2 linked regions of the Coturnix japonica genome follow. The protein of the gene in region 1 interacts with the protein of each later gene in a pairwise test. Links are inferred from orthologs where the notes say so. Each region holds a gene or a part of one and is shown in the gene's direction. Other genes may lie near its edges.

What was found.
Region 2: the proteins of ZFYVE19 (region 1) and VPS4B interact in binary tests that used the Homo sapiens proteins (3 or more experiments, as listed by UniProt). The two-hybrid records come from large-scale screens. The link is inferred for Coturnix japonica from reciprocal best matches to the Homo sapiens genes ZFYVE19 and VPS4B.

Annotation. Positions count from the first base shown.
Region 1 is NC_029520.1:21,663,471-21,667,481, forward strand, and holds the start of ZFYVE19 (abscission/NoCut checkpoint regulator), read left to right. Parts: upstream 1-1,155; 5' UTR 1,156-1,229; coding exon 1,230-1,283; intron 1,284-1,410; coding exon 1,411-1,532; intron 1,533-2,529; coding exon 2,530-2,583; intron 2,584-3,162; coding exon 3,163-3,323; intron 3,324-4,011. UniProt on the Homo sapiens protein: Key regulator of abscission step in cytokinesis: part of the cytokinesis checkpoint, a process required to delay abscission to prevent both premature resolution of intercellular chromosome bridges and accumulation of DNA damage.
Region 2 is NC_029517.1:63,124,819-63,128,385, reverse strand, and holds part of VPS4B (vacuolar protein sorting-associated protein 4B), read left to right. Parts: coding exon 1-77; intron 78-686; coding exon 687-837; intron 838-2,029; coding exon 2,030-2,097; intron 2,098-3,567.

The DNA of each region.
Region 1 (4,011 bases):
GGGTCTTTGTTAACTGCTTTCCTTAATGAACATGCAGGTTTGCTGGAGATTCCACGTGTGTTCCAGACTATCTCCCACTCCCTTCTGCAGATATCAAAAGCTTCAATGTTTCTCCAGCTGTGTTTTGAATTCCTGCTTGCAGACTTCAGTTAAATTTGTTATTTTGCTATAAATTTGCAGCCCAACAAACAGGGAAACGCAACATCTAGAACGTTCTTATACTAACCACTGTTCATTTTCACCTGCCATTAGCTGTGAATATTAAATGGAGGACTCAAACAATTCAGACACCTGCTGTGAGCTTTAGGTACGCTCAATTGCATAGCAGAAGAGGATGTGCATCTAATAGACAATTATCAGCCCACAGTGGGCATTGCCCATGTATAATAATGAGGTAGAGGCCTGCTATTAACATTCAGTTTCTGAGATACATGAATTACTATTCACCAGACAACAGACACCAGGGACACCATGGTCACAGGTTTAGGATTCAAATGTGAGCACTGATTTTGAGAGGCTCTAATCAGAGATCATCACATACTATATACAGCCTGGAAAACCAATATGTAAGGATTTAATCTTAAAAATCAGAGTAACAGCAGTAACGATTACACATGTATAGGTGTATTCCTGTGTATGTACAAGCAGCTGTTACACAACAGGTCTGTGCTCAAACAGCCATTTCCACGAGCTTGTGGAAATGAGATGAGGAGTGTTTGTGTCCAAGATTCCCAACCTTACCTGCCTTGGGACTGTCAGGGTTCCTATCTGGGAGGTGAGTCAGGGCCTTTGAGCAACATGCTCTCTTAATCTGTAAAACCAGGACAGAGATTTGCCAGTCACTTCTATGAGACGAAAGCAGCCTGAAATCAAGCACTACAGAAACACACCCCAAAAATCTACCACTCCTAGGTTTGTTTTTGTTGTTAAAGTGTATTTCCCTGACATAAGTTGAGGCTACAGCACCAAGAAAACAAGAGTAAGGCAGAAAATAAGGGCAAGTTTGGCACGCTGATCGTACAGCTGGTTCCTCACCTGGACGAAAACTGAAACTCAGGTTCCAGATCCAGTTTGGTGACGGTTCGCTGCTTCTGTCACAGCGCCCGTGTTTCAAACGACGCTCCCCGTACCCGCTCCCGTCGGGCCGCGCGCAGACGCGGAGGGGCGGGGTGGTGCCTGCCGGCTGAACGCGGCGCTGCGGAGCGTGGTATGGCGGTGTTGGGAGGGCCATGGAGGGCCGCTGCTACGGGTGTGCCTGCAAGTTCAGCCTCTTCAAGAAGGAGGCAAGTCCGGCCGAGGGGTCGGCGGGGCCGGGCTGGGCCGTCGGTGCGTCCCGTCGCTGTAGCCCGGTGCGGGTCGCGCCGCGCTCCGCCGCTCGGGAGCTGATCCGCCCGCTTCGTGTCCCCGCAGTGCGGCTGCAGGAGCTGCGGGCGCTCCTTCTGCTCGGCCTGCCTGAGCTGCAGCGCCACGGTGCCCCGCTGCGGGAGCGCTCCGCAGAAGGTGTGCAAGCAGTGCCACGGGAAGATCACCGGGTAAGTGCCAGCGGGACTGCATCCTGCCTTTGGTTTTTCCTCCCAGTGTTCGTGGGTAGACCGTGATGGCCCGGCTAGGAGAGGCCAGAATAAGCCCCGCTATTATTTTTGCCGTTTGAAAGGATGATCTTTCAGATGCGTGGTAGTTTGGTAGCCTCTTCCTTCCCTTGTTTGTTTAATATCGGTACTATGGATTTAGAGCAGGAGGAATTCTTCCCTGCGTGGATAGCAGGTAGATAGTGTGTGTTGGCTGTGGTTTTGTAGGCTGCGTGAGTTGGTGTTCTGCACTCACCCAGCTTCCACAGTTGAACCCTTAGAAATGGTTGAACCCTTGAAAATAGTCCAGTGAAGGTGTTGCCCTTGTTTGCCTTTGCCTGTCCTTAGCACAGTGCAGGTAACTGTGCCTTCTAAGAATGAATAAAGTGTGCTAACTACCTTATGTAAGCATAGGTCAGCAGCTTGACACAAACACAGAGAGGCAGAAAACAGTTACACAGGATTGACTGATGTTCAAGTGCCCTAGAAGATGTCGTCACGGTACTGGTGATTACATAATTATTTCTGTAACGTTTTATTTAGCTTCTGCATTATATAATTTTGTGTTTGTTGCTCCTTTCAGGGAGCTGTACTGTATGGAAGCTAATTACCTTGGGAGTCCTACCTAACTGCGCTCTCTGCTTGCTGAACTGGGGCGTGCAGGCTCTGGGAGGCCAAGAGTCTTTCAGCTCCTCCTGGTGTCCAGAGTAAATGAAACAAATTTTGTCCAAATGCAAAACAACAAGAACATAGGACTAGGAATGAAGTCACCTCCTGTCTAAAGCAGCTGTATCATCTTAGTCACTTTCATAAGCTGATCACTATATTAATGGGGTCATGAAAGAACTGTACCAGGTGATCAATACACACGTATTCTGATTCCTCTTGGGCTGAGAGAATAGATGATTGAAGCATTGCTGGAGCCTTGAGTTCAGAGATAACAATGTTTTTTATGTTTCAGACAAGAATCTCAAAGCAGTTCAGCAAAATGGTCACCACCAGAAAACTACAAAAAGTGAGTTACACTTGCTGATCAGCCACCTGTTTCCGCTGTAGGGTAACCTTTCAGACCTTCAGCTCTTAACCCCTGTGTCCTCATAGAGTCCAGCAAAAGAAGGAGGTTGTGATGTGGATGTTTGCTTGTTCAATATTGGATTAAGGATGGGCTTTTTGCTTTGTGGGCTTTTTGGTTTTTTTTTTATTGGTTTTTTTTTTTGTTTGTTTGTTTGGTTTTTTTTGTTTTTTTTTTGGTGGTTGTTTTGGAGGGTGGAAGGAGACACTAATTCTGAATACGCTCACAAACAACAGCCTGTCTGTGTTAATCTTTGACTGATTGTGGTTGGCTTGGAAATAAGTCTGCTGGTGAAATGTTCCTTGTCTCCTCAGAAATGTCACGGCTGCTTCACCTGAGAGTTATGGTTTTCCTTATTCATAGTAGTGCTTCATTGTGCTGGTATGGGAGAGCCTGGTACAGGAATGAGAGGCTTCTTTTCTATGCTGATGTCCTTCAAATAGCTTGTGCTCATAGAGGATGTTTTCAAATCTCAAGATTTAAACCTCTGTTTTCAGTTGTCTTTTTCCATCCCTGTCACAGGCGCGTAGCAGCGTTTGAGGCTAAGCAAAAGCATCTGAAAGGACAACAGAAAGCAGATGCAAAACCACTCAGTCAAGATGACTCCAGATACCGAGGGCTCTCCAAAGAAGATAGAGCTATTGCAGAGAGACTGGAGAAGCTCAGGGAGGAAAGGAAACCCAGTGAGTTTTGGAGGACACCAGAAATTCCCTGGAAGGGAACGCTGCTACTTAAAAAACTATGGGAGGGAAAGGGAAGTGCTGGGCAATCAGTATCTGCCTTCTCTGGGAACTGAAGGCAGTGATGTGATCAGAGCTGCCACAGTGGCCAGGTTCTAGATTAATCTTCCACTTGGGATTTCTCTTGAAATCGCTTCACAGTCCTGGGGCAGTGTCTTACCTATGAAATCACTCCCTTATTTTTCATTGTTTGGTGGTAAAAATCTGTTGGGCACAGTAGCAGCAGAATGGAAGGGGGGGGGGGGGGGGCAAATCATTTTGCAGAAATCATCCTATGTGTTGCTGTGCTGAGTCACAGCAGTACCAGTCTCTGTGGGGTTATACTGTGAATTTTGCCTCACAGAGAACAAAACCAGGCTCTTATCCCAGTCCACAGCTGTCAGATTCTGGAACAGCCTTGGAGTGACTGTTGGAAAGTAAACCTTTAAAAGAACTTGCATATGGTCTCTAAGGGGGAAAAGGCACTCCAAAGTGGTTACCTGATAATGCAGGCAAGTTTTCAGTCTGATGCCTGGGAATATGTTAAAGGATGTGGGAGCAGTGGACTGTACTCCCTAAAGGACATGTGTTTCTCTGCCTGTCCCTCATATCTGTAGTCAGCTGATTGCCAAATGAGGTTACACTAACACTG
Region 2 (3,567 bases), on another chromosome or scaffold:
AGATAAAGCAGGCAACTACGAAGAAGCCTTCCGCTTGTACCAGCATGCTGTGCAGTATCTTATCCATGTTGTTAAATGTAAGTGTAATGCGTTGGGTGATTAAGTTTTATATTGCCTGGAGTAGTCTCCTCTATTGACATCAGCATTTAACTTCTGACTATCATTGACATTTGTTTTCTGTAGTGTGGCTGAGGTGTTATATTATGCAGCTTGTATCCTCACTATATTGCATACCTGCTTCTTTCCTGTATGAACTCTTAGTTGTATCCACAGGTTGTTTTTTGCTTATTAATTCATGTCATTTAGTTTCCTATGGTTTTTCCAATGGCATTTTTTACTCATATCAGTCACGCTCATCACCTTGGCCAGCAAAATGTCATAGCAGTTTGAGGGGCTGAAAAAGCTTCTAGTGCCATCATCCTTACTCCTGTTCAGTCAAGTTTTCAAGGCGAGGCAATGTTCAGGTGTATATTTGATTTATAAGTGATTACTTACCATTGATTTGTAGGTGTTAACTTCTTTCCTGTCACTTCTTTCCATGGCGTAGGGGTAAAAATAAGTCAATGAAACGTTTGGATATGTGGTAAGCCCCAAGAGAGCGATCTTGATACAATGTAAAGATGTTTTCTGAATGATGCACGTGTATTTTGCTGTTAACAAAGCATTGTTTCTCTTCAAACTCTCAGATGAAGTACAGGGTGATAAAGCAAAGCAGAGCATTAGGATGAAGTGTACAGAATACTTGGACAGAGCAGAAAAACTGAAGGAATATCTGAAAAAGAGAGAAAAAACTGCACCAAAGCCAGTTAAAGAGTCTGGTCCTGCTGATGGAAAAGGGTATGTTTTGGGGAAAGGTAAAGCAAAATACTTTCTCAACTCGGCTTATTCTGCGATTCAGCTTTTCAGAGATCATTGCAAATAGTGTTTTTGAAGTGCTTCACTTCAGGTAGCTACTAATGTTGAGGTACAGCGGGCTTAGAAAGGAAAAATAATGTGAATTAATATCACAGGCTTTTTGTTCTTGTTTGCTACACCTTTGAATGCTTTCATAGGAAATTCACTGAAGAATGGAAGCTGTTTTGCACTCATACTTGCTTTTTGGGCTCAATGACAGTGAGCCTAGTGACACAATTCTGCATGCGAATATCTAATAACTAGAAAATAAGTTCAGATTTGGTCATGATTTCTGTAGTCTGAGTTCTATCTGTCTCTCATCTGATGAGAGGTAACGAGGTTCTGTCATAGGCCAATGTTCCGAATCGCTCTATTGCCTCGCTCCTGCCTATTCACTGCTTTCCTTCTATTAGATCTGTTTTTCGTTTTGCACATCTGGGAGCTGAATCAGCCCACCTGAACAAGCAGAGCCTCTTTCGTATTTTCTAGGGTAGAAGAAAGGTTTCACAATGGTGTCTCTGAGTGAGGTTGCCCTTTCTGGTAGCCTTGAACAGCCAGCACTGCTCACTTGTCTCTTGAAACCTCACCTGAGGTTTCAGCGTCTTTCATTGTCTGCTCATATAATGGGTTTTATTTTTTGAGCTGTTCTGCTGGTTTATAGTGGAAGGAAGCACGAGGCTACATGTCTCCATTCCATTTGTTCCCTATCTCACCTACTTCATTCTACTTTTAATTTCCAGTTTTCTGACAAGACTATAGAGAGTTTTGTGATGCTTAGTGGAACTGACCAAGTCCAGTTGCACTTTTAAACAAGGAGTAAGTGCCAGCATCTGCAGTGAAACCATTTTGCTGCTTCCACGGTGCTTTTGTTTCCTAGAGGCTGAGTCAACACACGTATAAGTATGTTAAGAGGAAGGGCTCAGGTCTGTAAGGAAGTTGAATTGGTTGCAGCGAGGGGGATTAGAATGTAATATAGAAAAGCAAGGATATAAACTTGTAGAAAGCTGAATGAATCTAAAATCATAAGGGTTTTCATTCTTCTGAGTGATATTTTTTCTGCTTCTTGCTTTCTGATCTGTAACGCAGGATAGCAGTCTTGATGTATTTCAATGTTTCTTTTTGGTTTCCAAATCAGGAATGACAGCGATGGGGAAGGAGAGTCAGAGGATCCTGAGAAAAAGAAATTACAGAATCAACTTCAAGGTAACTCTGAAGCCTGTGTTTGTTTAAATGGAGGTGACTTTGGTCAAGTGGATTTCTAGTTGCTTGTTGTATTTTCACCAGTTAACTTGTGTCTTTAAGTGGCTCAACTAATGTACTCTACATACAAAAATAAAGTCTTTATGGAAATATGGGTTTGTGTGCCATGAAATTCAGTGGTGAATATGTTGAAATCATACCATTTATCAATTAAACATTTTCCAAAGGGAATAGTCGCAGGATCCCAGATGGCTCTTTTGTCAGACTGTGCCAGTTTATGTGCTGACATATTGCCTAGAGGCCAGAGCTACAGATGTCATCCAAGTGCGTAGTATAAGCAGGACCATCTTCACAGAAAGGCTTGAACTCAAGTTGATAAGGTGGGAAGATGGATTCTTGTTTGTTCATAGCAACAGGCAGGATTTCCTCATGTTGCACTGATGAGGGTGTTACTCAGTTGCGTAACATAATTGTGTTTTTGAAATGACGTGCTGTACACATGCAGTGATGCAATACACAGCAGTAGTTTTTTACATAGTAAAGAAACGGCTTAGCTTGATACTCCTTAACGGTAAAGAATTAGTAAGAGCTTCCCTGGCAGATGATATGTATTGATATGAAGAAACTTCATTCTCCTTATTTTCACTATAACAAAGGTGAGATGCATTTGTCTGATCTCTCAGTTTCTGTCATTTCAGAAGCTGTTGTACACCTTTGTAAAATGTATTCTAGTTTTGCTTCTCTATACATTTACTCAATTCTATGTGTAGCCCTATGGGACAGTTTCCTGTACTTTAAAATCAATAAGCGTTGGATTCTTAGCCTGTGCCTCACTATAACCATTTTGTTTCTTCCCAGATTAATCCAACCTTCGGTTTCCTATGAACCATAAGGTTCTTGCTTATTAATCCTCTTGCTTTAAACATCTGAGATGTGAGATCTCTGGTGTCTTTAAACTTAACATAGGAGTCCCCTATACAGTGTAAGCTCTTGGCAGCCCTCACTTTGCTTATCTTCATTTTACTTCCCACGACAGCTACGGATATGCCCTGCATTTAGTTTTACTGCCTTGTTACTCTTAGCTGACTTTGCCTTATGGAACTTTCCACATCTATGGCTGTGTATCAACCAATTCACAGAGCTCTGAAGGCATAAGGGGAAAGTGACAAGAAAATAGCTTGCAAAAGCTGGTTGTGAGCTTATAGAAAACCCTTTGTAGAGAAAAGTGGCAACTGCATTGCTAAGTATGCTTGAGTACAGAAAGATAAGCATTAGGCCATTGACACTGGTTCATTTGGAAGATTTCTCTTACCTTTTGGATTTGCCTTGAATAGGATTTCACAATCTGCAGCTGGCTCACCAGCTCCACTGTGAGCTGTCCCATCTAAAAGATGCCCAGGTAATGGAGTTTTTATCTTCAGACTGACTAACCTGAAGTCTGGAGAGACAGGGGACATCACAGCTCAGCAGCTA